Nothobranchius furzeri: one gene and its partners. The protein of the gene in region 7 interacts with the protein of the main gene of each other region in a pairwise test. Links are inferred from orthologs where the notes say so. Each region holds a gene or a part of one and is shown on either strand. Other genes may lie near its edges. The genes, in order: psma1, phf1, mpg, srek1ip1, ca8, snapc3 and hsd17b14.

Region 1 (4,167 bases), on a different chromosome or scaffold from region 7:
AAAATCTGAATATTGTTGGGATAAGTAAAGCCTGAGTGTAGATTAAATAGGTGTGAACACAGTGAGAGACCAAAAATGGACAAATGTGGGTACAATATCTCTCATTTTGTCTTGGTTCAGCTAGTTCTCCTTCCCACTGGTTTCTGCTGTAACAGCAGTCAGTGACGCATGTTTTTGAGTGTCACCAATTTGGTAAAATCTGTTGGATTTCCTCATTTACTGCTTCCACCTAGTGTTCAAGCACCATCACTGCATGTGTAAAGATGAGAGGTTTCTGTAGTGATGAGGAGAAAAAACCTTCGCAAAATGTTCAGAAAAACTACATATATTTATTTATTTTGACTTAAATTTTATGAGGATGTAAACCGCTTGAGATGAGCCATCTCATTTTCGAGCAGGTCCTCTTTCTTTACAATCAATAAAAAAAGAAAGACAACAGAGTCAATGTACAAACAACAAATAAAGATGATAAAACAAAAATAAATGTAAATTTAAAAAAAATTATTACAAATAAATAAACGAAATAAAAAAAAGTTTAAAAAAAGCCTGCATGAGGTCATTTTTTCCACATTATTTTTACATTTTAGTTTAGGTTATTTTTGGTAAATAAATATATGATTAATACATTGGTTGTGCTGTTTGTGTAACCACAAGTTGCAATTGACTCAGGGGCCTAGTGGTATGAGGGTCTACCCTGAGCCTGGGGAATGGTGAGTTCAAATCCCTGGTTCAAATATGTTTGGGCCATACCAAAGACCTTAAAAAAAGGGTTAAACCACCAAATGAGTCCCGAGTGCAGCCATGTCTGCAGCTCACTGCTCCCCAAGGAGATGGATCAAATGCAGAGAACACCTTTCCCACACCAGTGTGACAACTAGTGGGACTCGAATACCTACATCTCCTTTTCTTTCTCTAATTAATTTTCATAAACTTTCTTATCTCTATCTTGGTCTCATAGACTTTTCAGTCAAATGTGGCAGTCACTTGCATGTAACAAATTTCTATACTAAAATAGATTGATTCTTAATTAAAATGTTTGTAATTCTTAAAGTCCCATTAGTCATCACACATTGGTGAAATTGCTTCTCCACATTTGACCAATTCCTGTGGGGAGTGGGGAGTTGCAGCAGTGGCTGCAATTATTTGGTGGTTAAACAACATCATCATCATCATCATCATCATCATCATCATCATCATCAATAATAATAATAATAATAATAATAATAATAATAATAATATGTGCAAGTGTTAAAAAAATTGAAAGTCAAATAAAGCCCTAAGGAGAAGTGTGTCTTTTAAATTTTATTTTCATAAATAAATAAATAAATAAATAAATAAATAAATAAATAAATAACGTTTGTTCACTCAGTCGATCAGAGATTTGAAATCAGGGCTCTGCTGCTTTTCCCTGACGTAACGCCCAGGAAAAGAAATCGAGAATCGAGAAGTGTGGACCGCATCGCACACTCCTAATCAGAAATGGTAGGTTTGAATGAAATTTCATTTAGTCTTGCCAGTTTAAAATTATACATTATTTACACAAAAATAAAATAGTTAGTTTACCGTTATGCCTGTTCATTTATCATTTAGAGGATCAATTTAGTCGGTGTGAGCTAACATAACTAGCTTAGTTTTGTCTGTATTGTGAGTAAGCAAAACAGCCTTGGAAACTGTTGGCGCTACACTGATTATGACTGCCTACTCGCATAAACCAGTGTGTTTGCTTTACTGTGTTACATTGAATAATACGTAATGACCCCCGAAATTGTAATCGATATGACAACATTACTTATTTAGATGAGTCCAAAGCCGGCAGCAGGCTAACACTAATTGTTAGCTAACATTAGCTTCTAAGTTAGCCTTAGCAATGCTCGGGGTAGGCTGTGCTTTCGGTTTCTCAGCTCACCGTTCATTTTGATAGTGACTTATTTTGTCTGTCCGTGTGGTAAAGCTAAGATAGCTACGAATTGATCCACAAGTATTTCTAATGTCAGCATTTTACTAAACAATTGGTACACAGAAATCGAGCAGGAATATGACCTCAGCCAGTCTGAAGGCTGCTTGTGGTTCGGAGGGAGCTTAGCAAAATCGCGAGATTATCAGTTATTTATTCATTAAAGTAATTTAAAACCTCTGGGTAGAGAAGACCTGGCTGTAGACCTACAGGCACGGACATTGTTAACTTATCGCGTCAAAGAAATACGTGAGAAAACAGTTAATAAAATGCAAGACGATTATGTAAGTTCAACCATTGATGATTATTCTGTAATGTAAGACTTCTAAATCTAATTTTGGATTTGTTTTTCTTTATCTGTAGTTCCGCAACCAGTACGACAATGATGTGACAGTATGGAGCCCACAGGTAAGTTTTCCTCAGCATGAGTCACCAAGTGTAGATGTCACACAAGTTGCTTATGCTCGTTTTTGTGCACTCACAGGGGCGGATCCATCAGATCGAATATGCCATGGAGGCGGTGAAGCAAGGATCTGCAACTGTAGGACTGAAATCCAAAACACATGCAGTCCTGGTTGCACTAAAGGTACATCTCACTGCTGAAACTGTCACCAGTCTAGATTCCTCTCACTTGATGTCAGTAAGGGACCTGAACGTGGTCTCTTATTGACATTTACAAGTTTCTGTGTTGTTGAAAATGCTGGCCTTTTGCTGATTCCCATCCACAAGGAAAACTAGAATTATCATAGGATGAAGGTAAAGTTTATGGTTGTCAAGAATACCAAACTTTACGTGATGCAGCATGACTCTATAGCTAGTTTTGTAGGAGCACTACTCAGCCTGAAACTAGGGATGCATCGATCCACATTTTTTCACTTCCGATTCCGATAACTGAATTTGAATATCTACCGATACCGATATTATTTCGATACTAGAGGAATATTTGTTTTAATGTCATTATGATTATTATTATGGTTGATTTTATAAGGCTATAATAAACTCTTTTCTACAAGAATGATATGTAATTGAGAGAAAGCCCTACAAGTAAGAGCCCAGCACCATGTCCCAAAAGATAAGTTGAGATAAGCGAGGTCATAAAACAACTAATTGTCTATCCTAAAATAAAAATAAAAAAGCAACTAATGTTTCAAATTGAAATTTATTCAATTTCAAGGCAGGGTTACTGGACGCAAGTGCATTATGCACAATCAAAGAAACAAACCCTTTCAATTGAACTAAACAGCCCAGGTCCAAATAATCACACTAGGCAGTAACACATTTTTAAATTGTCAAATATGAATTGAAAAGGGTAAACTTCCATAAAACTACTCCAAATAAAATAGAGGGCTTTATCCAATCCCCACAAATTAAGTTCACTGTCTTTTGTAGTATCAAAAATGTAATTTTCAAGTATAAAATCACACTATCAAAAAAAAGTGCATCTGAGACAAATTCAGTAAGTCTTTGCTCATGTAGCAGTAAAAAAAACAAAAGTTTTCAAATGTTAAACATTTTGAATTAAAGAAAAGTGCAATGTAAACAAACAGCAACAGTGTGCATCTGAAAAGTACAATTCAAGCATTGGAGATTTTGCATTGCAGGTGACCTAGATAAAGTTAACAATCTTGTCAGAGTCTGGAACTATTCTTGAAAAAAAATGTAAATGCGTGAGGTACTTAAATGTTGTTCATCTAATCTCACTTAAACAATGACAGGTTCTTTCTGAGGAATATAAGCATTTCTGCTCTTTCTGCTGTCAGACCATTCCTTTTTTCATCCACAATATAGACCCTTTTACTACCTACGTCATCAAAAGTTGCGCGCGCAGCCTGGCAACGAGAGTGAAGGCTTTCTCATTCACACTCGATACTAAAACAGCGTTTTAAACCCTTTGTTTTGAAGTTCTGAGCACATAAACATGTCGGGTTGTTGCGTGTATGGATGCCAGAATCGCTTCTCTTCAAGCAGTGGACTGAAACTTTACAGAATTCCGAAGGGAGCACATCCATTTCAACAAAATCGGAGGCGTCTGTGGCTGCAGGCCATCAAAAGGGTAACTGCAGCCTTTTTCTGTTTTTCCCATCCTAACACAAAGCTCAACTCTGAATAAAATTGCTGCTGCGTGGCTGCAGCATGACCCAAGTCTGGAACATCAAAATGACAGAATTAAACAAATTTATACGCTTTCTCTATTTCTCTAAAATTAACACGAA
Region 2 (4,273 bases), about 56 Mb from region 7:
ATCAGATCAACTCTCATCCTGATCTCAGCTTTTAAAAACCACTGATCTCAGGGCAGTTTTAGAGTCAACATCATCAAAACCCGTTTTTGGTGTCTCTTGGTAAGTCTATTTTCCTGACAACCACACAAGCGTGATTTATGATTGTCTGACACTTTCAAATCTTCTCTGATTCTCCAGCTGCAGTGTTTCCAACAGACTTCCTTGTGTTTGCGCGCCATCTAGTGATCACTTACTGAAAATAACACTTCACCTTCTTTTGAAGAAATATTTACCAGAGGCCATTTTGAACCAGCGGTGTTACCGTGCTCGTGTCTGACTGGTGAAATAAACACACGAACAATCTGGGATTTGTCAGAACTAACCAGTAAGCACGTAAGTGAGCTAATGTAATATTTTAGGGTCTTTTATTAAGTACTTCTCATTTTATTTGAAGTTAACTCATGTTGTTGGATAACTTGATTTATATCGGTATAGTTTCATATTTTGAGAAAATGTTGAAGCAAGTGTGCACGAGTTCCTCATGATGAGTAAAACGAAACTTTTCAGAATCAGTTGTATACCGCTGATGTCCTTAAATGACCTGTGAAAGAAGAGTAAAGTTCATGTCAGCAGAGACTAAAATTACAAGACCTTTTAAAGTGTTCTGCTGTTAAACTTTTCTCCACCGGTCTCCTAAACTTGTTGAAGACCAATCAACGAGGCGGGAAAATACACTAATTGGCTGCTTAATTGGCCGCTGTTACGCGCGCTTCCACCGAGGCTGTGGTGCCCTCCTGCTGCCCTTAGAGCTCAGGCATCACTGTATTGTCACAACTGTTTACCGGTCATGCTCTCAGACGATAAGGAGCCCCCCTCCTCGGTCGGATATGTCGGTGTTTTATGTCTGCGTCACAACAAGTCGGCGGAGAGCGAGCGGGAGGGATGATGGCGTCTCTGGCGGCTTGATTCCGGCGCAGCTTTGACAAACCCGCACCGTATTAGTAGCTGGGGGGGGGGGGGGGGGACGGAGGGGGAGCAACAGCGACGGGAACATGACGAAACGGCATCGCGGAGGACGGACAAACTAGACTGAAAGACGGACAGTCGCCTTTGTCCTCCTCCTCTTCCTCCTCCTCCCCCTCGCTGACGGCTTGACTGACACACTGGCGCCTGGCAGAGACACAGAATACATGCACATCTTCTACTTTTCTGTTTCCTTTTCTTTTTTTTTTTCTTTTCCACCAAAAGCTGCGCATCGCAGCAGGCAGGAATCTGGGCAGCAGGGATCCACGGCAGATGAGGGCATTTCCTGTCCAGGAATCACCGTGACCCCGACGGAAAGGAGTTCGACTTGACAGGTACCCTTCACCGGCCAGCTCACTGTCCAATTGGCTCCATCCTCCATCAGATGCTGCTCAGCATCCTGCATCTGCGTAGACCTGAGTGCATGCACCGGAACAAATGCAGTGTGGAAAAAGAACAGTGTCTGCAGTCATTTCACGCATCTGTTTAAGTTTTCTTAAAAACTGAGAAGGTGGCGACAGCAGCAAAGTCCACCGAGGATGCTTCAAGTGGCTGCACAGGGAGCTCTGCCTGTTCAGTGAAACTGTGTTGCAGTAACCATCATGCAGTGAGTGTGTGTGTATGTGAGTGTGTGTGTGTGTGTTTGATGTGTGCAGTAATCATTTATCTTCCTCTCTGGTTGTGTATACTCACTCTCATCCTTCACTGTGCTGGATACAGGCTGTATGCTCAGGTCTAAGAAGGAGGAGGGGGGGGGGGGGGGGCGTTTAGATTTGAACCCATTTGCACCAAAACCCGACTGTCTGAGAGGCAGTCAGAATGCCGGGGCTGTAAACCCCTCCGTCAGCAGCGGCGGCGGCAAAGTGTTCAGCAAATAAATCGGATTTCCATTTCACACGAGCCCTGCTCTCTCCTCTCTGTGTCTCTCCTCAGGATGGGGGGTGTCAGTGAGGGAGATGATGTGTTGGCTCGTTGGAGTGATGGACTACTGTACCTTGGCAATGTAAAACGGGTATGTGTGTGTGTGTGTGTGTGTGTGTGTGTGTGTGTGTATGTGTGTGTGTTGATCCAAAGCACTCTGATGATGATGATGTTTGGTGTCTGCTCTCCTCAGGTAGACGGAGTCAAGCAGTGTTGTCTGGTGAGATTTGAGGACAACTCTGAGTTCTGGGTTCTGAGGAAGGACATTCACTCGTGTAAGAAAAACTTTCTTTTCCCGTCAGCTGGAGGAGTTAGAAACTTCCCTGCGCCGAGAACTTTTCTGACTGAGCAACAGATTTCAGCAGCGAGTTTCCTGCAAGTCTCCAAATTATTTCAGGCCACGTTTAGGAAGATTTCCTGTTGCTGCTGCTGAAAACGTTTCTGAAAGCTATCATTAACATGCATGTTTTCCTTTTTCAGACTAATGGTTAGAATGTGGTCAGTGAAAGACTATTATTTTTTTACACTTTAATTTGAAGGATTTGGGCTTTCTTGTAAAGTTTTCTTCAGTTCTCTCCTCAGGTTTGATTCTTTTTTTGTCATTTTCTGGTCATAGCAGAATTTTAAGGTAAACATTTTTTTTCATTTGCTTTAAAATGAACACATTTGAGGCCAAAAGAAGTGTCCGAATTAAAGATGCGAGAAAAGTCAGGATGTCTCTAAAGAATCAGGGCCAGAGAGATCCATCATCCTTAAGCTTGATGGCTCTTTCAGCTTCACCTTGTTGGAGCGAAAATCCGCATCTGTACCTGTCAAACTGGGAACTTTTTACTGCCTTTTTAATAGATTCGGCTAAAAACGGAACATGTTGTGTATGTGACAGGCTTCGGGTAACGGCAGAGCTTAAAGAGCCAATTCAGAACTGGTTTTGTTTTGTGTTTACACAATTCTGGCTCTTCTCTTGGGAGCCTTTTTCACATCTGAATGACAGATCAGAGATTTACCTCAGCAAGTCAGGAACCTTTAGTGTCGAAGTCAAAGGGTTGTTACTATGGATGCACATTATATATCTGCATCAGGTCGGTATCAGTTTGATAAGTAAATCTGGGCCGATATTGGCAACAAATATTTCTTCCATCTTGTTTCTGTTTGTGTTTCAGTTTCAGAGGGTGAGAGTGATGTGTGACTGTTTAGTCATGTTACAATGATGCGTAAATGTGTGTGTATGTAATAACACACACACACACACACACACACACACACACACACACACACACACACACACACACACACACACTGGTATCGGCCCAAAATTTCATATTGTGCATCCCTAGTTGTTACTTTATAATAAGAAATGCAGATACACTGCAGATCCAGCAGTGGTGCAAAGAACTGCAACACCCATAATGCATTGTGTAAATGAGCTATTATAGGCCTTTCTAAACACGAACACCCTATTTAGCATTTGGTTCTGAACTCAACCTGTAAATAACTCCTCAGAATGCTCAGCAGTTTCCAAGAAGAATAACAACAACAGTAACAATAACAACAACAACAACAACAACAATAATAATTACAATCAGGTGAAGCTTTTCCTAAAACAGCCTACTTTCAAATTTTCTGTCCATTTTTTGACTATAAAATTGACACTCCCTCGTTATTTATTTCCTAAGTTTCTAATAAAGAAGCTTAATGAACCATTAAAGGACATTCCCAAATGTGGTTGGAAAAGCAGCTGAAGTTCAAAAATGACTTTGGAAAACTTCTGAACAGGACCTATTTTTTAAACAAGGCCTTTTTATTCAAGTTTTAACAGTAGATTTTAAACTTACCAAACTATACGGGACTAAACCCATCGTCCCCACCCACAAAGGAAATAACAGAAACAAACTATAAAGACACACTATCAAATTAAGACAGAAATGGAACAAAACCAGATCCACTACAAGGATGTTTTAAAACAGATTACAATATAGCCTGAGTGCTTGGAAATAAAGAAATAAACAACAAGACTTGAGACTTTTGCACAGTTCTGTTGAAAAACCACAATTTTTGACATTTTATGAAATAAAACTTTAGCTTATCCGCTGTTTGCTTGGACCTCACATGTGCAGTCTTTAGTTATTATGAAACCTGATATAGTCTTGAATATAAATCCCATCAAGATTACTTCTAGGCTTCAAAATAGTTTACTTTCAGACTTAAGCCCTGTCCACACGTAGCCGGGGATCTGCCAAAACGTAGATATTTTCTACGTTTTGGCCTGTCATCCACATGAAAACGGAGTTTTTTCACACGAAAACGGATCTTTTTAAAATCTCTGGCTAAAGTGAAGATCTGCGTTTTCTCC
Region 3 (4,099 bases), about 2.5 Mb from region 7:
GAATGTTTGCAAGGTAATGAAGTCCACGTTTAACAAGTAGAGCTTTGTGTTTGTTTTTATACTTACTGGGTTGGGTGTTTTATTGTAAAACATAAGAACAGATAAAATATTAATGTGTTTCTGCCTTTTTTTTTCCAATTCCAGGTTGCTGCATTATTTCCGGGGACATCACCACCTGGAAGAAATTATGTACAATGAGAACATGAGGCGCTCGCAGCTCAAGACGCTGTTCGACAAGTTCCGCAGTGTCCTTGTAGTGACCAATCACGAGGATCCCGTAATTTCCATCTTTCAGTCTCCCATGGATTAGCAGCTGTTTCAGAGCAGATAATCTGCTCACAGCCGGGTTCTCCTTCACCACAAACTGAGACGAAAGCATACGCGTGTAAAGATTTACAACACATGAAAAAGTGTTCTCTCTTTGAGCCAAATGTGGGTTTACAATATAAAATTATTTTGTAAGCAACGGACATGCCTTAAGAGGCCACTGTGAATACTGGAAGGACTGGTGTGCTGGGAGATTGACGTGATCTCCCCACCCGCTTCACGGGGTCACAGTGATCCTTCCAGACCTCCAACTACCTTTTTTTAAGAATTCCAGAGGTTTTGATGGAAAAACTGTTATGAAAAGGAAGAGACGGAGCATCAAACTGATGGTTGAGGGGAAACTGAGCGTTCCAAACATCTGTGGAGTCACTGAAAGGAACATTTCCCACGTGGGAATGGAACATCACAGATGACACTGAGAAAGACGGTTCAGTACTTTGACAGGCACTGATCTACTGAATCCACTTTGTTAGATCTGCTTGGTTACTCCGTTACACTCTTCTGTATACTTTTGCATCAATAAATGCATTTCAAAACTGTAAAATAATTTTTCTATCCTTTCAAATCCCAGCCGGAGTTTATTTCATCACTTTGACTTTGAAACAGCTGCCTACATATTCTCCATATAATGGCACAGTTTCATGTTATGTTCTGTGTAACGTTTGGGGTATTTCCACACCGCAATCAGATAACGTATGCGAGTTTAACTTGGGGTGGGGGGCCCAGATGGAAAAGCATTTTTAGGAATCTTCCTCCGTTCTCTTCGTCTTTACAGACGGCACATCTCGTGGACCTGAACTGAACATTACATTTCCAGATGGAGACAGCCTCTCTGCCTCTTTATTAACAACGCTAACACACAGGTGCCCATGGAGATAAAACCTCCATGGTTTCTTGGCCCATTCCCCGTGGGACTCGATCCCGATGCGAGGAGCTGATACTACGTCTTGGGGCTTTGCCAGGCTTGTGTCTGGATCGGACTCCAGCCACACCTCTGGGTCTGAAGCGAGGTCTCTACGGTCAAAACAGCGAGGTATATTTAGAGCCTGGCACAGCTTTGAAGGCCCGTTACAGAGCTCTTTGTCCTTCAGTTGGCGAGCCCCTTCTTTGCGCCTAGCTGCCCTCAGCTTCCTCATGACAGAGTGACCCTGGAGGGGCTCCAGAGAGCGCAGCAGAACAGCAGCACCCTCCCCTGAGGAAACGGCACACAATATGCATCCATTAGCAAGGCTCCATTAGGTCTCATTCCTTTTTCTCTTTCGCCAACAAAATAAAACAAATGCTGACTAGCTCAAATAAAACACAGAGCAGAGCTGCATGTGTGCAGTGAGGATGGACATGACCGTACCTTCACTGGACACGTTCATGCACAGATAGATCCCATAGATTGGATACACATAGATTGTGCCTGGCTTCATAAACATGGCTGTGTTTCTTTCAGTGCGTTTGCCTCCAGATGAGTGTGAAGCTTTGTCCTCTCCTCCAGGATACGCTTCAGTTTCCACTATCCTCCCGCGCAGCTCAGTTCCATCTGCACACCTACGGACCAACACCTGGCAGACAAAGGTCTGGGATTAGTTGACAAGCAGAGAAGTTATTCACTGAAAACTTGCAGGGAATACATGTGTTATTGTGTTCTGATACAGTTACATACTAATTATGTTTTCACATGGGATTTTAAGATAATTGTGATTTTTTTTAAATATTTTATTTATTTACCAAACTGGAAATAAGGACACTATGTGAGACAAAATTATTTGACTTCCGTTTCGTTTTCTGATTAATTCCTACACTGAAAAAACACTTATAGGTTTTTGCAGAGATCTGGTCTAGTTTGATCGTTTTAGTGCACCAACCTAGTCCCACAGTACATTCTGATGTAGTTTTATAGCATTTTAATAAGAAAGGAATGACGCACTTTTGATTTTTTAATAAATACTGGTTTATTTAGAACATCTTTTCCTAAAGATAGGCAGATTTTGATATGTGGGGGTGAGAATTTTAGTTAAGGGTAAAATGAAGTGTTGCTAATAAAAGTAATAAAGCATAAATGTTAATTATTAGTACCTTGCCAAGGAACGATCTAGCCAGACTGATACAAGGCTGATTAAAGAAGTCCTGCTCCAGTCTGTGCTGAACGACATTGCTGCTGAAATAACGACTTCGCTCCGGTTCAACGCTTGGAGTTGGGTCACATTTAACTGGCTTCATCGGTGGTTCACGTTTGGACAAAGCCGGCTCTTTCTGTGTTGGATCAGCTGTTTTTCTCTTCCTTGCAGCCATAACATCGACTCGGCCCACAGCGGGGCTCTAAACTAAAATATCTCCACCACACGCCCACTCCAAAGGTCTTCCTGTGTTTCACTAGCCTGGCAAGCCAGACAAAATAAATGTATTATTTAGAATTTGGTCTAGTTCACTAGGCTATGTTTCACTGCAGCGTTGATGATTGTATCGTACTACATACCGGAAGTAAATTATTGTTTTTTTTCTTCTCTTAAAGGGACCGCGCGCCTTTTTGACGTGATGTGATCACAAGCATCCAAGAGCATCTGGCTGCAGACATCATCTTTTTTTAAACAAACTTTATTTGTTTTTGTCACAAATACATAGTCGCACTAACAAACATACATCAAATATACACACGAACAGACATCAGCTCATTAATTGACAAGAGGCACATAACAGATAATACAACCTTCCAAAAGGTACATTTTTTGATTGTTTTTGTTATGCAGGGTCAATCAGAAATAAACATTGAAGACTTATTAAAGTGAGTTCTGCCTTCTTATTTACAATTAACTTTATGGTGTTAACATATGAATGGAAGTCATTTAAGAAAACGCAAAAGTTAGGGAGAGATTTGGAGACCCTCGCTTTATGTATATGAAATTTCCCTAAAAGAAGCATTAAATTAATTATAAAACTTAACCTTTTATCATTACATTCAAACTTGATAATAACATCCTTAGATCTGATTTGGATAGAGTGTTTGGATTTAATCATAATGAAATTTTCCATATCTTTCCAAAATCCAGATGAGAGAGGACAATTATAAAATAAGTGTATGATAGTCTCTGAACCAGTGTGACAAAAGGTACATTTCTCATCCAGATCCTTGAACAATGATATTTTTTTGTTACATGGATAAATATTGTGTAAATTTTTGAAATTAAGTTCCCTTATCTTGTTTGAAATACAGTATTGAAAGTGAACCATCCATGCTTTCTTCCAATTTATATCAAACTGTGTGTTCCAGAAAAACTTTCCTTTGGGTGCCACTGTATCAGAACAACATAAAACCTTCCTTATATGCTGGTTTGAACATTTCTTGTCTAATAAATCAATACCCCCAACTTTTAGAGATGGCATCTGCAAACTAAATCTCTGATAAACAGAGTGTGCTCTCATTAACTCAACTATGCCTGAAGAAATGGCTCTCATGACCGAGGCAAATTCTCTGTATTTCACTGGAAAGTCCTTAGTTTTCAAAAAGTTTTCATAGGTATAAAGGCTTCCGTTATCATCAAATAAATCCGCAGCAAAAATGATGCCTTTCTCAACCCAATTAATTTTGTATAAGCTTTTGTTGTTTATGGTAATATTACCGTTATTCCATAATATTTCTTTGTGTGGGGAGAAATTATGTGTATGGCATAATTTCCATGCAAGTAAAGCCTGCTGGTGAAACATTGAAAGTTTCACTGGTAATTTAGAAATAATAAAGTTGCAACTTAACAGAAAATTTAACCCCCCTACCATTTTAAATATG
Region 4 (4,030 bases), on a different chromosome or scaffold from region 7:
AATTTGCTTTGTTCTCTCACCTGCAGACGTAAACCAACAGTGATGCAGATAAGTTTATTTTTTCCAGTTTTCTATTTTGAATGCAGATGTTACAGGAATGTCAAAATATTATTTAGAAAACATTTGATCTTGCCAAATGTTTTCAGGGACATCAGCTTTTATGGGGAATCTTCTGATTACTTTATCATTTCCTTTTTTACTAAGTTAATTCTAGATTTACTTCTGGCAGTTTGGTGTGTGTGTGTGCGTGTGTGTGTGTGTGTGTGTGTGTGTGTGTGTGTGTGTGTGTGTGTGTGTGTGTGTGTGTGTGTGTGTGTGTGTGTGTGTGTGTGTGTGTGTGTGTGTCACAGCCACAGACCTAATGATGACAGCACGTCTGGGGGCCCAACATCTGTCAGCATTTTCCATCTTCAAGCCTGGCTGCTGTCAATTAACCCCTGGCAAATAAAACCACACCAGACTTTGCTGGTAAATCAATCAGGAAAAGTGCAAACATTGCTAAATAACGAGTTTTTGTTGATTACAGAGATATCATTTATGAAAACAAAGTATTTTTAATTAAAACTTGAAATATGAACTAGCTAAACATTTGGAGGTACATGTTTCGATTTATGAATTTCTGTCACTGGCTGCTGCACAAACTACCTGAATCCTTTTTCGTTTGCTGATTATCCTAATGCTTTTGTTTGTTTGTTTTTCTGCAATGTGTAAACTGTTTTATTTATTGTTGCTCTGCAAGGACATTCCTAGATGTAAATCTCAACGACCCTTTCAGTTTAAAAAACTTTAATTAAATTTAAAAAGTGGTCAAAACTACTGTCCATGTGTTTAAACCTTGTTGATGTTGAAGTACCACCACAGACCCAATGATGACAACATCCAACTGTTTCCTTTAAATATATCCAGTGTTCATTGTAATGCTTATTTTTTCTTCTTGAATGAACGTCGTTTTGATCTTTGCCTTATTGGCTAGCTAGGTCTCCCTTAATAAAGATTTTTTAACCTCCATGGGCTTTCCCTGGTTAAATAAAATAAAATAAAATAAAATAAAATAAAATAAAATAAATAAATAAATAAATAATACTAGTAACTGTAAGGAACCATAAGATTTATTTTATTTATTTATATTTTTTGGAGACGATCTTTTTTTTTTGTAGGTCTTTGTTTTTAGCACATGTCCAGCAGGTGGCGACATTGAGCCACTGATTTTGTTTTCTAAACAGGAAATTAGAAGAAGAGAGGGAGGAAGCAGTAGTTTCAGGTGCAAATGTTTCCGGTCGACGGTATTGTTCTTGTAGACTTGCATTCGCTCTGAAATATATATTTTTTAAAACAAATTTGTAGTTTTATCACCAAAAGCACAATGGCGGCACCAGGTAGGGGTTCTGTTTGAGTGTTTTTAGGCTAATTTTTTGATCATTTAGCGTAGATAAGATAAGTAAAGTGGAGCTCATCTTTACAACAGTTAAACCTCCAACAAACACGGAGACTACTCCTGGCATTTTCGCACAAATCCTGGATATATTATAACTTAGCTAAATATCGTTAAACAATTTCTGTGTTGAAAAAGAAATAATGCAGTCATAAAGCGCTTTCCCGCGTGAATCTTCGTGATATTTAACCTCTTGTATCACCTGACAGCTGCCAACAAAGACAACATCAGAGCTGGCTGTAAGAAATGTGGCTATCGTAAGTAACTTTATCTAATAGATTACTTATTAGTACAAATGTATGCATTCGATTTATTTTTCAAGTTACATTTGAAAAGTGAATTCTTTGAATCTTAAATGCTTTTGGAGACAGATAGAGGTACTTTGTTTAAAATGAGCCAAAAACAAGTTATATGATTTAAAATATGCTATCAGTAATGAAGAACTGTGTAAATAATTAGATTTAATGTTTTCACTGACGTTTTTCCATCTGAACAAATGTTCTTTTCCTTAATTTAGTGTTTCAATTGTGATCTCTTTTTGTGTTCGTTTCTCAGCGGGACATTTGACGTTTGAGTGCCGAAACTTCGTCCGGGTCGACCCGCAGAAAGACATTGTTCTGGATGTGAGCAGCACCAGCAGCGAGGAGAGTGAAGATGACGGACCAGTTTCTCAGCACACAGAGAAACTGGGACGGAGTGGTCAGCATCACAAAGGTCAGATGGCTTAAAATTTGCTTAAATCAATAATATTTTGATTAAAATAAAGCAAAGAAAGTGCAGACTACCATCCATCTATCTATTTTCCTCCGCTTATCCGGGTTCGGGCCATGGGGGCAGCAGCTTAAGCAGAGAGGGCCAGGCTTCCCTTTCCCGAGCCACTTGGTCCAGCTTCTCTGGGGGAATCCCAAGGCGTTCCCTGTCCTACTGAGAAACATAGTGCCTCCAGCTTGTCCTTGGTCTTCCTTTAGGTCTACTCCCAGTTTGACGTGTCTGGAAAACCTCACCAGGGAGGCATCCTAACCAGATCCTCTCAATGTGGAGGCAGACCGTCACCGCTTACTTTACATAAGAAACTAAAAAAAATCAAACAAGAGACTTTCAAATGCTAATCAAACTTTCTGTTCTTCTATGATTCAGGTCCTGTTCTGCTTCTACTGTGACTTGCTTTGATTCAATGTCGACTTTTCCTTTCATTATTTTCAATGTTTTAGATTCCAATGATGATGACGATAGAAAAAAGAAGCGGAAACAGAAGAACAAAGACAGAAAGTCAAGAAAAAGGTCATTTATCTTGTGTTTATATTAAGATACGTGTTTTTAATGCTCCTATATTCTCAATTACTGTGTTGAAAAAAGCATGTAAGTTGTTGGAAAATATTTTTCATTCCACTAGTTAAAGATAGACTAATAATGTATTATTTTAGATGTTTTTATAGTTGATACTTAAAGATTTGAAGTGTTTTCTTGGTTTTACCAAAGCCAGTAACTATTATTTAAAATTTAGATCTTACTCGTCGTCGAGTGATGGGGGCACAAAAAAAAAGAAGAAGCGAAGCAGATCAAGCTCATCGTCGGATGAAGAGGAGAGAAGAAAGAAAAAGAAACTAAGCCGCAAGAAGAAGAGTAAAAAGAACAAAAAAGAGCACGGGAAGCATCACAAAATGAAAGAGAAGAAGAGGAAACACAAATCATCCTCATCATCCTCTTCCACCTCTGGTGAATCATCAGACAGTGACTGAACAGTGTCGTTTCTGGACGACGTGTTTATTCAGAAGTGTAGATGGTCTGCGTTTTGACACTTTATAAATGCAGCAAATCAAATAGTTTCATCTGAGCTTTCCTTTCTGAGTGTTAAAGTAAATTTTGTCTGCTACAGATTAATGGCAACAATATGACGTAAGGGTTAAAATGACTGCTGATTTCCTCTGAGACTGTCAGGAACCCATCTTTATACAAGGATTTAAAATATTAAACACTTCATACTGCAGGTTAATAAGTTCCTATTTCTGTTATTTTTATGTATTTTAGTCAAAAAGGATCAATTTAAAAGGTCAAAGTGCTTTTAAACATGAGGGCAGTACGGTGGTTCAGTTGGTAGTGCTGTTGCTTTGCAGCGGGAAGGTCACAGGTTCAAATCCTGACCTTTCTTTGTGTAGGTTGCATGTGTGAGGTTTCTGCAAAAATGCATAAACAGTCAGTGAAATGCATCATCTTTGCTGTAATTACTGCAGGTTTGTCTTAGTTTTCTGTTGATCACTGACCCTTTACTGGGAATAAAACATGTTTGTTTCAGTTTAATCTGTCACTGTTTTCCCTTTGTAATCTAATCTGACCAAATTTAATAAACCACCAATCCTGATTGACAAAAAAAAAAAAAAAAACGGACTAAATATGGTTCATATGCAGCCACATGGCCACTAGAGGGAAGCATCACACCTCATATTTCTATCTGGTAAACTGCTGTTTAACAACATCAGCACTTAAAAGAGAAGTTTCAGCTTCATGAAAGGTTTGGAGTTATTCACTAGTGCTAAAGATGCTCAAAAGTCCCTAAAAGAAGTGCATTCAGATCCTTTCACAATAAGGCTGTATTAAGTA
Region 5 (4,015 bases), on a different chromosome or scaffold from region 7:
AAAGAGGAGGGGGAAATGGGAGTCCATTTTTCAAAGTCATATTTTCACCATGTTATTCATACGTTTATAAATGTTAAAGATCCAAACTTAGCTCGCAAGCTAAAAATTTAATTTGGAGTAAAACATTTATATCACAAACTAAATATTTAGGTCCGACCTAAATGTTTAGTTTGGAAAATAAATATGTAAATCTAATTTTTTTTACCTTGCTCGATAAATATTTTGTTGTGAACTTTAACATTCATAGATGTATGAATATTATGGTGAAATTATGACTTTGAAAAAAGTTTACTCCCATTATTTTCTCCTGTGATAGGCTAATAAACCCAAAATGACATTACAGATGACAAACTTGGTGTGTTTTAAAAAGATGAACTAAACATAAAATGCTGAAAACACACATTTCTCCCTCCAAGTTCCTTTGAGTGTGTCTCCCTATAGCGCAGGGACAAACCCTCCACAGTGGTGGACTATTCTCTCCACAGCTAAGCACGGAGATGTAACATTCCCTCTTTCCTCAGCAACTAAAGCCATGACAACAGTTTTCTGAACACGTGAGGGTCTCACTGCAGAACTGAAAAGGCTTTGCAAAGCTCTGTGTGCATGCAAGGCTCTTGCATAGAATCTTCTCAGACAAAAGCAACAGATAATGCAGGATTTGTCTCTTTTTCACACTGTATGCTCATGACACTGTGGTAAACAAATGTATACTTTATTTCACTGGAGCCAATTTCTTATTAGTTAAAAACTGCTAAAGTCTATATGGCCTCATCCCTATGCTGTTAAATAAACCAGGCTGTGAGAAGGCATCCCATAATGCACCTCTCTTTGCATCCCCTTTCTACTCATGTATTTGTGCTATTTAGCTGTTTATCATGATGCTTTTCTTTCCCATCGCAGATTCAACTGTACTTTTTTATTGTTTGAAACCCTTTGCTGTAGAAATTGACATTTATTTAAATAACTAATTTGCAGAAAATCGCGACTGGAAAAATTTTGTACAGCTTTCTACTAAATTTGTATTAAAGGGAATTAAATAGAACTAGAACAGAATAGAGTTGGGTTTATTTTGTTTATTTTTATATCATATAAATCTATAATATCACAAGAGCCCTACGCAGTTATCATTTCTAAAATGTGTCAAAACAGACACATTTTATTAAAAATCTGATTAAATTGCAGTAAAATATGTGAAACTATTTAATCTTATTCATGCACAGAAATGTTCCTGATCAGTCAGCATACTCACAGTAAGAATCACAGAACGGAATCAGTTCATCCTCCGACGCTCAGTAAAAACAGAATGAGGGAAGACAAAGTGAGACAACACAAGAACAACACCCTTTGGTTTTTATAAACCACTAAAGTTCTGGTTACCGTGTTTAAGATGAGAGTGTTTCCCACCTTGTTATGTAAAAATCAGCCGCTAATGTTTTCTCTAGCTCCTGCAGCAGAGCGGGCTACGCCTCGTCACAGCAGCTGTTTAGTGTCACATTTCTTATTTGTTTTAGATAAACTGACTTAACAGATGATTAAAAGGAAACTTTATCTACTGTACACACAAAGACTGTGTCTAGTTCAGTGGATCCCAACCTTTTTTTCATGAGGGCCCCCATTCCTGTGTCCAAGACAAGCCAGGGCCCCCCAACCCCAGCTCCTACCTGCATGCACACAATCAACCTTTCTCAGTGGCCTAGTGGTAGAGTGTCCGCCCTGAGACTGGGAGATCAGGGGTTCGATTCCTGGTCAGGTCATACCAAAGACTTTGAAAAAATGGGACCCAGTGCCTCCCTGCTTGACACTCAGCATTAAGGGGTTGGATTGGGGGGTTAAACCACCAAATAGTTCCCGAGCGCGGCTGTGTCTGCAGCTCACCGCTCCCCCAGGGGATGGGTCAAATGCGGAGAACAAATTTCGCACACACACCTGTGTGTGTGACAACTACTAGGACTTTAACTTTACCTCACCAAAGACAAAATTATAGGTACCCCAGCAATCTTACGGGAACCCCCTTGGGGGTCACGAACCACAGGTTTGGAACCACTGGTCTAGTTCATCAGCCAATAGTAAATAAATAATAGTACAGATTACTCTGAATGCGTGCACGCATGTGTGTGTGTGCTGCATGTTTAGATTGTAATGGCAGTAAGAACCTGTATTATGCTAACTGCAGTACACCATAGGAAATCTTTACCCATGTATTTCAATGTGAAGCTATCAGATTTATAATCAATGTGTGGTCTGTTGATTATACTTTTAATTGTAATTTATAATCCTTGTTTTGCTGTCATATTAAAAAGTCTTTGTTTGGAAAGGATTAAAAGAAAGTAAGGTAAAAATATTTTAAATCTTTTTGGGGCTAAAAGTCTCAAATATTCTGTCCAGAAGGCTTTTTTGGTCAACCTTGAGCAACTTGCAACACATGGGAGTAAAGCCAACATCTCTTTGCACATGTTGTACTGGTAGAAAAAGGTACATTTCACTGATCCAAGTCCAGGTTTTGAAGAATGCAGAAGAACACACACACACACACACACACACACACACACACACACACACACACCATCTTTTTCTCATGGTGACCAGCCTACCTTCCTCGTAGCCCCAGTCCAGCTCATCCTTCCCAGAGATATAATCGGACTCTACGTTGACGTGGTTGGCCATGGTTCTTAGCAGTGAGTAGAAACCAGTCTGCTGTCCCAGTAAACTCCCAGCCTCACTGGTTTTCTCTGTTCACTTGGATGCAAAGTGAAGTATTTGCTGGATAAATTCCCAGTAAAACATCAACTTTTTAAAACTACTTTATTCAGTTCCTCTTTTTTCATTCTATTCTTTATCCTCCTCTCTGCTCTGGAGCTCTTGCCCTCTTAAAGCAACTATAACAGATGAGAACTCTTGTTTCACTTTTCTGTCGCTCCTCCTCCTCTCTCTCTCTCTCTCTGCTCTTCTGCTATCTGTCTCCCCTCCTCTCTTTCCTCCTTCCTTTCTTTGTTTCCTTTTCTTGCGGGCTGCAGGTGTGCCTGCCTGCCCACCATGGCTCTCTTCCAAATGGTCACAGGCAAGTGTTTGTTTGTCTTCCACCCCACCACAGACTTTCCCTCTTATCCTGGGTGGAAATCAATTGAGTTGCAGAAAATTTAGTTCAGTCCTTCCAGGTTGGTCTGAGTTCTGTGAATCTTTTTTAAGGGTGAGTCCTGTCTATGTTTTGAATGTGCTTGTGCTGGAATGCAAGCAGGAAGGTCACACTGGTGTTTTCTTGGAGGCCCCAGACCCACCCTTGGGTGAAGGAAACAGCAATGATTAAAAAATAGACTGAAAACAGCAGGAGGTGTAGAAAGAAAGGGTTGACTGTTCTACCTTGATGACTTCACGATGGATAGACAAAAAAAGTAGAAAATTCACTTCTGGTAAGCTGTTCTAATGAGAAAAGGTTGATCAGTGACATTCAGAATATGATGTATTTCAGAGAAATGTGTAGAAACTCAAAAAGAAGAGTTTGTTCATTTGATTTTTTTTCTACATCCATCTCCTCCAGGCTGATTATGTTAATTACCCTACATTCTTTATCTGGACAGTGTCCTTGGAGCCATCAGAATAAAGTCAGCCTCCCTTGTTTCCACGCTCTGAAAACAGAACATACAACATCTATACGCATGTGGTCTACATTTGAAACTTCAATCAACTTTTTAATGCCTTAATGCAGATATGTTGTGATGACATGACTTCTGCATCTGCCACAGAAGACATGTCATAGATGTTTATGTAGGTTTCACTTTTGGTGACAAATAGTTTTGGACCTTGAGTTTAGTAGCAAATCAAATGAAACTTGTACGCAATATTAAGCTGCACCGAAAATTTTAAAAAATGCACTTATATATGAAAAGAAGGTTTATCATTGTAAAGATTCAAGAGAAAATCAGGATTTCCTCTTGAGTCTTATGTGGCTGAATAAGTCTCCACCTGGTGGTCATAAAATAGAATGCAGGTCAATATCACACTGAACTACAGCCTCCAT
Region 6 (2,303 bases), on a different chromosome or scaffold from region 7:
CAGGAAGTGGAAAGGCTGCAGATAGATGAATAGAATAGAAAATCCCTTTATTGTTCCTCAGTGGGGAAAGCTAGATGTCACAGCAGCGATGACACGTATTACAGGAGAAAAAAGGACAATAAAAAAATAAGAAAAATGAATAAACAAGAAAACATAAATCCTGAATAGATTTATAAAATGCTGATTATACCACAAGTAATGAATACCACTGATGCCTTTTATTTAAAACTGACTTGCTCGTGTGTAATTTGGTTATTCCTCATTCAGTGTTAATGCAGAAATATGTTTGTTTCCAAATTTAAAGGTTCAAAATTGCATATATGTTGATAAAGAAAATGTGCAAATTTGCCGTCACTTTTTCAAAAAATATTAAGTTTGGCCCTCGACTCCGTCCCAGAGTTTCATTTCGGCCCCGTGTGAGTTTGAGTTTGACACCCCTGCAGTAAATGTTAGCATGCAAGTTGTTTTTAAAATCGATACACTGCTTTTAAATATTAATATTTATTTGTGATATTTCAGTGTATCAAGGTTTTCTCACATCCCTAAAAATGCTTTTCATTCATTGACTCAATCGTAAATCTTTAGTTCCCCTCAAATGAAACTGCAGCTTTGCAAATCAGTGTTTTTTATTGTGTATTTTCAAATGGTTTCATTTAAAATTATGGAATGTGGATGGGGAAGAAAAACAGGTAACCCGAGGCACTCTGAAAAATGTTTATTATCAGCAAGAAAAAAAAAAGGAAAAGCCGACGCATTTTGGCGCGTGCGACCTTCTTCACAGTTTAATTTAAAACTTTCGTGTTTTATTGCCCACACTAAGAAAACCTCCTCAAAGTTCTGCAAAGTGCTTTCCAACACATCTCGTTCAACTATTTACACACATGCAGTTTTCTTTATTCTCACTCGTACTCCTCAGATTTGAAGCAACAATTAAGACCTTTTAACACTAAAAGTTATTGATTTTAAACTGGTTTCAGTGATTCTTGATTCATTAACTTGACCAGCTTCACGTTGGACAGCACTCTGCAGCCCTCTGCTAATCAGAAACTGCCCTCAAGCTTTTTGTGGTTCGGGTAGAGACTCTAGTTGGAGGTCTCTACCTTCTTTACAGCAATAGCTGTTTGCATCAGTGGCTACTATAAAGGCTAGCAGTTAGCTTTTTTGGTTTGCTGACTGTTGATAAATGTACAAGAAAAAGAATAATTTAGCTTTTTTTGTTGACTTCATGACAGTGCCTGGAACTTAAGAGCTAAAAGTAGAATGAACATCGGTGCAGGCCAAACTTGTTTGAAGGAGGCTACAAAATCACAATCTGATGGTGACCTGGCTTTGTTGCCACTGGACTTGTAAGTTGTTTTTGTCCAACAGTGTGGATCTTTATACTTCGTGGCTGAATTAGTATCAGTTGGCTCGTGTTAGCAATAGCTCGTTGTTAGCCCTAGCTACAGCAGGCTGTGGTAGATTTTTTTACGACGGTTGTAATTCAACTTTCAACCAGTAGGTGGAGATGCAAAAAACTTCTTTAGTGTTGCTTTAAACTAGTTCTGTGTGATGCAAACACTCTAATCACACAACACCAACCTGACATCTGTGATAATGATGATATGTTCACATTCTCCCTGGTGGCAATAGAGGTACGGGAATCCTACTTTCACCTTCAGATCCACAAAGCGCGTGTCCTCCATCTTGGCCTGACTATACTGGGGGAAGTTATGGGCCTTTGCCCATTCAACAGTAGTGCTGGAGCAAAAAGGTGCAGAAATCAATCATAAAAATTGCCAATCTCAGAATATACAGAGTTGTGCCTTTTAGAACGTTGTTATTGATTTTACTGGAGTTACAAATAATAGGGGAAAATTAGATGCTCAACAATCAAATATTCTAAACAGTCTCAGTCAATAGGAGTATACAATCTTACATGCTGATGTCCTGGCACTCAGGGAATCTCATGTCATTGTAGAAAACTCCCTCAAAGAAAAAGAATGCCGACTTAAAATGATCCTGAAACAGAACATATCAAAACAGCAGCTTTATGTTGTGTCATTCTTTCCTACCATCTTCAGTAACTTTCTAATTAAGAGCACTGTCACAGTATGTGTGGGTGTGTGTTTAGAGGCATGTGGATACTTTGCTGATGAAGTCTGGAGCAACGTCTGGGGTCTTGCTGAACTCGCCGCACACTTGCAGATCACTGATGCAGCAAATGGCATCCCTGAGCTCAGTCAGGGTGTGGGAGCCGGTCATCAGCAGAGTCATGCAAGGTCTGGTGAAGTTAAACTGGAGGGAACACGCGCAAGGAAAGG
Region 7 (2,989 bases):
CTACAGCGGTCGCGAATGCCAGTTATTTTGACCCCGAACACTAAAATTAATATTTCCAACTCCAGGTTCGGTTCTCCTTTTTCCAGCGAGCGGGATAGACTGCAGGCGCGTAATGCCAGGTGATAAACAGGGAACGTTATCTTATATTGTGGTTGGATACACATTTATCGATGAATCAAATTAATCTTTAACCCAGGTTATCAGTCAAAACAGATAAACCCCAGACAGACATAAGTGAATGAACTCACGGTCCGGAGAGCAGCCATCTCTTCTACGTAGCGCTGATAAAAACGAGATTATCCGTTCGTGTGGAAACAAACAAACTAAACATTAGTTCCGCCCAGCTGCTGTGGTGCCAGAAAACAGCAAGGCACCTCACATAAATACTCATACCAGGTTTATAAACAATATGTTACTGGTACTTGTTTTTATTTTAACTATTTACACCATATGTATAAGAATGCCAGTGGGTAAAAAGGGGGACAAAGTTAATGAGACTGTCAATTTTTAAGGCTTTATTAATGTTGAATGGTCTTAGCTAGGAAGTTAACAGAGGCGTGCCAAATGCATGGCATCTGATTGGGCTAGAGGCAGAGAGGTTACTGTAGGTCAAATATGTTTAATACTGATTGGTCTAGCATTGGAGGGTGGTGCAGGTCTAGTTACAATTGGCCTGGATGCCAACATAACCCTAACCCATAAACTCAACCAGGCAGATAAAATAAAGGGACACTTAATTTTTTTGCATCACCAACCTCCCTGTTTTATGAGCCATTACTGTTGATTTTAGTATGTAAACAGGTGATTTTTCAGTTTGAAAATAATTTCCAGCTGCTCAAAAGCCACACGATGCTGTAGAGGTCAGAAAGATCAGGACAGGATCTGACTCTTAAAGCCGTAGTTGAGTTCTGCCCCTCCGCTGAGCAGCAGGTCGATCCCGGTGCAGAAAGTGGCATCTGCAGCCAGATACAAGGCAGCAAGTCCACACTCAGCCTCTGTTCCCATACGACCCATCAGCTGTTGGGAGGAGAAAGCACATGTGACTGGTTGTACCAGGCAGTTTCTTCTGCCATCAACAGCTGTTCACACAGCTACTGCTGTTAAACAAGGAAAATTGGTACAAATTTGATATCAAGAAACATTCTGTTCCTCTATTCTGTCTTGTACAGCTGTTTGTTACATTAACACAAGGCAACTTCTGCTGCATCAGCAAAAATCATCTGCTACATGCTCTTGACACAAAAACTGTACCTAATGAAAAGCTTTTGCTACTTTCCTGAGCTAACCTGAGCATTTTCTCCCACTCTGATGGCCTCTGCAGCATCTGGCGTCTGTGCTGCAAGTTCTTCCCAAAGCGGCGTCATCACGTTACCTGGAGAGATGCTGAAACAAATCAGCTGTAAGCCATAATCATCACAGTTATAACAACTAAAGGCTTGAAATGTCTGGCTTTGCATGCACTGAGTCTATATCTCATTTTAGTTTCACCTTTTAAGTTGAATTACTAGCAGAAAAGAATTTTGCACATTAACTTATTTTTTTCTAATTTCACATGTAGTTTGAGAATCACGATTACTGAAACCGTTGCTAATTATTCCTCAAGCAGCAAGGAAATCACAAAAAGCCATAAATCTAAAAATAATGTAAAATTTCACTGTTTGGCTTCTTTAGCAAATAACATTATTACCCTATTGGATATTTAACTGGTGACATCAAAGAGAGGTTTGCCTCACCAGTTCACTCTCACATTGCATCGACTCTCATCCACAGCCATGGCCTTGGTCATGGCGATGATCGCTCCCTTGTGGAGGAAACGTTACATTACAGAGCAGCTCTGCTGGTTTTTAAAATATTCTTCTAGCATCTATTAACTCACTTTAGTGGCAACATAGGGTGCAGCATCTTTCTGACCAATTGTGCCCACAAGACTGGAAACATTAATAATGTTTCCCTGATGCTGGCGCAGGTAGGGTAATGCAATCTGCAGAGAGAGCCAGAGCTTTCACAAACACACACACACACACACACAAGCATGATGGGAAGGTCTTTGCAACAACGCAGGAGTATAAAAACTATATTATTACACAAATGTTACAAATCTAAGCTGTTATTGGGGGTAGGTTTTATTTATAAAATAAAAATGAGAAAAACGTAATTTCACATATGTGTCAAATTCTTTTTCTCATGATTTTTTGTAAGTTTGAGGTTTGAATAAACTTTATTAATAATTCAAGTTCTGGAGATGACACATTCCCTTTATCAAGTTGTAGTTTTGTTATTTTTATGTAATTTTGTTTTCCCAAATTTCATGAATCAGATTTTAAACTCCAATATCATTTCAAGCCTTCTATTTAAAACAAACGTCTCCATTATCAGACAGTTTGACCTTAAATCGTACATTTTTTAAAATGAAATTCCCACAAAGTTTTAGGACGTGACCAAATAAACTATTCACTTGAGATGTTTTGTATTTTTTAACTTTTCCCCCTTTCTCTTGCTCTCAACTCTGATATATTTTCTAAGGAAAAATAAATAATATTTTTACACTATTTTCCTATTCATAGGTAAAAAAAATTCCTGCTAAATTATTTGTTGACGCACGTATAAAACTTTACTTTAGAAGCCAGGAAGTAACTGATGAGGTTGAGATTCAGCAGCTCTCTGAACTCCTCTGCTGTTGTTTCATCGGTGGCTTTGTGAGGAGGGTCTGAGGATGAAGATGATCTAAAAATTAATCTGCAGCTTCATTCTCAAATACGTCTGCAAGAATCAAGAGGGCGACTCACGCCAGCCAGCGTTGTTGACCAGGCAATCAATGTGTCCATAAAGCTGCACAGTGACTGAGATCAACATCTGAAGAGACAAATAAGGACAAACTAATATGAATAACAACTAAAAGTTCACATTAAACAATTTCCTGTTAAACCATGGGGCCCACTGTTGCTGCAGCTCTTAAGGTTGGTTTATGCTTGACGCATCCGCGAGGTCC

What was found.
Region 1: the proteins of hsd17b14 (region 7) and psma1 interact in binary tests that used the Homo sapiens proteins (3 or more experiments, as listed by UniProt). The two-hybrid records come from large-scale screens. The link is inferred for Nothobranchius furzeri from reciprocal best matches to the Homo sapiens genes HSD17B14 and PSMA1.
Region 2: the proteins of hsd17b14 (region 7) and phf1 interact in binary tests that used the Homo sapiens proteins (3 or more experiments, as listed by UniProt). The two-hybrid records come from large-scale screens. The link is inferred for Nothobranchius furzeri from reciprocal best matches to the Homo sapiens genes HSD17B14 and PHF1.
Region 3: the proteins of hsd17b14 (region 7) and mpg interact in binary tests that used the Homo sapiens proteins (3 or more experiments, as listed by UniProt). The two-hybrid records come from large-scale screens. The link is inferred for Nothobranchius furzeri from reciprocal best matches to the Homo sapiens genes HSD17B14 and MPG.
Region 4: the proteins of hsd17b14 (region 7) and srek1ip1 interact in binary tests that used the Homo sapiens proteins (3 or more experiments, as listed by UniProt). The two-hybrid records come from large-scale screens. The link is inferred for Nothobranchius furzeri from reciprocal best matches to the Homo sapiens genes HSD17B14 and SREK1IP1.
Region 5: the proteins of hsd17b14 (region 7) and ca8 interact in binary tests that used the Homo sapiens proteins (3 or more experiments, as listed by UniProt). The two-hybrid records come from large-scale screens. The link is inferred for Nothobranchius furzeri from reciprocal best matches to the Homo sapiens genes HSD17B14 and CA8.
Region 6: the proteins of hsd17b14 (region 7) and snapc3 interact in binary tests that used the Homo sapiens proteins (3 or more experiments, as listed by UniProt). The two-hybrid records come from large-scale screens. The link is inferred for Nothobranchius furzeri from reciprocal best matches to the Homo sapiens genes HSD17B14 and SNAPC3.

What each region holds. Positions count from the first base shown.
Region 1 is NC_091744.1:46,382,969-46,387,135, forward strand, and holds the start of psma1 (proteasome subunit alpha type-1), read left to right. Parts: upstream 1-1,367; 5' UTR 1,368-1,479; coding exon 1,480-1,482; intron 1,483-2,317; coding exon 2,318-2,362; intron 2,363-2,438; coding exon 2,439-2,540; intron 2,541-4,167. UniProt on the Homo sapiens protein: Component of the 20S core proteasome complex involved in the proteolytic degradation of most intracellular proteins. This complex plays numerous essential roles within the cell by associating with different regulatory particles.
Region 2 is NC_091745.1:62,322,322-62,326,594, reverse strand, and holds the start of phf1 (PHD finger protein 1), read left to right. Parts: upstream 1-1,473; 5' UTR 1,474-1,604; coding exon 1,605-1,609; intron 1,610-1,935; coding exon 1,936-2,014; intron 2,015-2,116; coding exon 2,117-2,198; intron 2,199-4,273. UniProt on the Homo sapiens protein: Polycomb group (PcG) that specifically binds histone H3 trimethylated at 'Lys-36' (H3K36me3) and recruits the PRC2 complex. Involved in DNA damage response and is recruited at double-strand breaks (DSBs).
Region 3 is NC_091745.1:3,714,262-3,718,360, forward strand, and holds the start of mpg (DNA-3-methyladenine glycosylase), read right to left. Parts: upstream 2,801-4,099; 5' UTR 2,611-2,800; coding exon 2,395-2,610; intron 1,881-2,394; coding exon 1,676-1,880; intron 1,520-1,675; coding exon 1,068-1,519; 3' UTR 311-1,067; coding exon of another isoform or gene 145-310; 3' UTR 14-144; coding exon of another isoform or gene 1-13. Other genes in the region: GATOR1 complex protein NPRL3, read left to right, coding at 1-13, 145-310. UniProt on the Homo sapiens protein: Hydrolysis of the deoxyribose N-glycosidic bond to excise 3-methyladenine, and 7-methylguanine from the damaged DNA polymer formed by alkylation lesions.
Region 4 is NC_091748.1:63,077,273-63,081,302, reverse strand, and holds srek1ip1 (protein SREK1IP1), read left to right. Parts: upstream 1-1,230; 5' UTR 1,231-1,363; coding exon 1,364-1,376; intron 1,377-1,641; coding exon 1,642-1,689; intron 1,690-1,987; coding exon 1,988-2,146; intron 2,147-2,643; coding exon 2,644-2,713; intron 2,714-2,936; coding exon 2,937-3,171; 3' UTR 3,172-3,730; downstream 3,731-4,030. UniProt on the Homo sapiens protein: Possible splicing regulator involved in the control of cellular survival.
Region 5 is NC_091751.1:59,036,832-59,040,846, reverse strand, and holds the start of ca8 (carbonic anhydrase-related protein), read right to left. Parts: upstream 2,801-4,015; 5' UTR 2,665-2,800; coding exon 2,592-2,664; intron 1-2,591. UniProt on the Homo sapiens protein: Does not have a carbonic anhydrase catalytic activity.
Region 6 is NC_091744.1:14,009,504-14,011,806, forward strand, and holds part of snapc3 (snRNA-activating protein complex subunit 3), read right to left. Parts: intron 2,278-2,303; coding exon 2,128-2,277; intron 2,002-2,127; coding exon 1,919-2,001; intron 1,741-1,918; coding exon 1,582-1,740; intron 1-1,581.
Region 7 is NC_091745.1:6,244,590-6,247,578, reverse strand, and holds the end of hsd17b14 (17-beta-hydroxysteroid dehydrogenase 14), read right to left. Parts: intron 2,854-2,989; coding exon 2,787-2,853; intron 2,708-2,786; coding exon 2,616-2,707; intron 2,000-2,615; coding exon 1,877-1,999; intron 1,802-1,876; coding exon 1,734-1,801; intron 1,384-1,733; coding exon 1,287-1,383; intron 1,018-1,286; coding exon 871-1,017; 3' UTR 501-870; downstream 1-500. Other genes in the region: bcat2 (branched-chain-amino-acid aminotransferase, mitochondrial), read right to left, coding at 249-266. UniProt on the Homo sapiens protein: Catalyzes the NAD(+)-dependent oxidation of L-fucose, yielding L-fucono-1,5-lactone, which rapidly converts spontaneously to L-fucone-1,4-lactone. Can also act on D-arabinose and L-galactose, with lower catalytic efficiency. Does not use NADPH.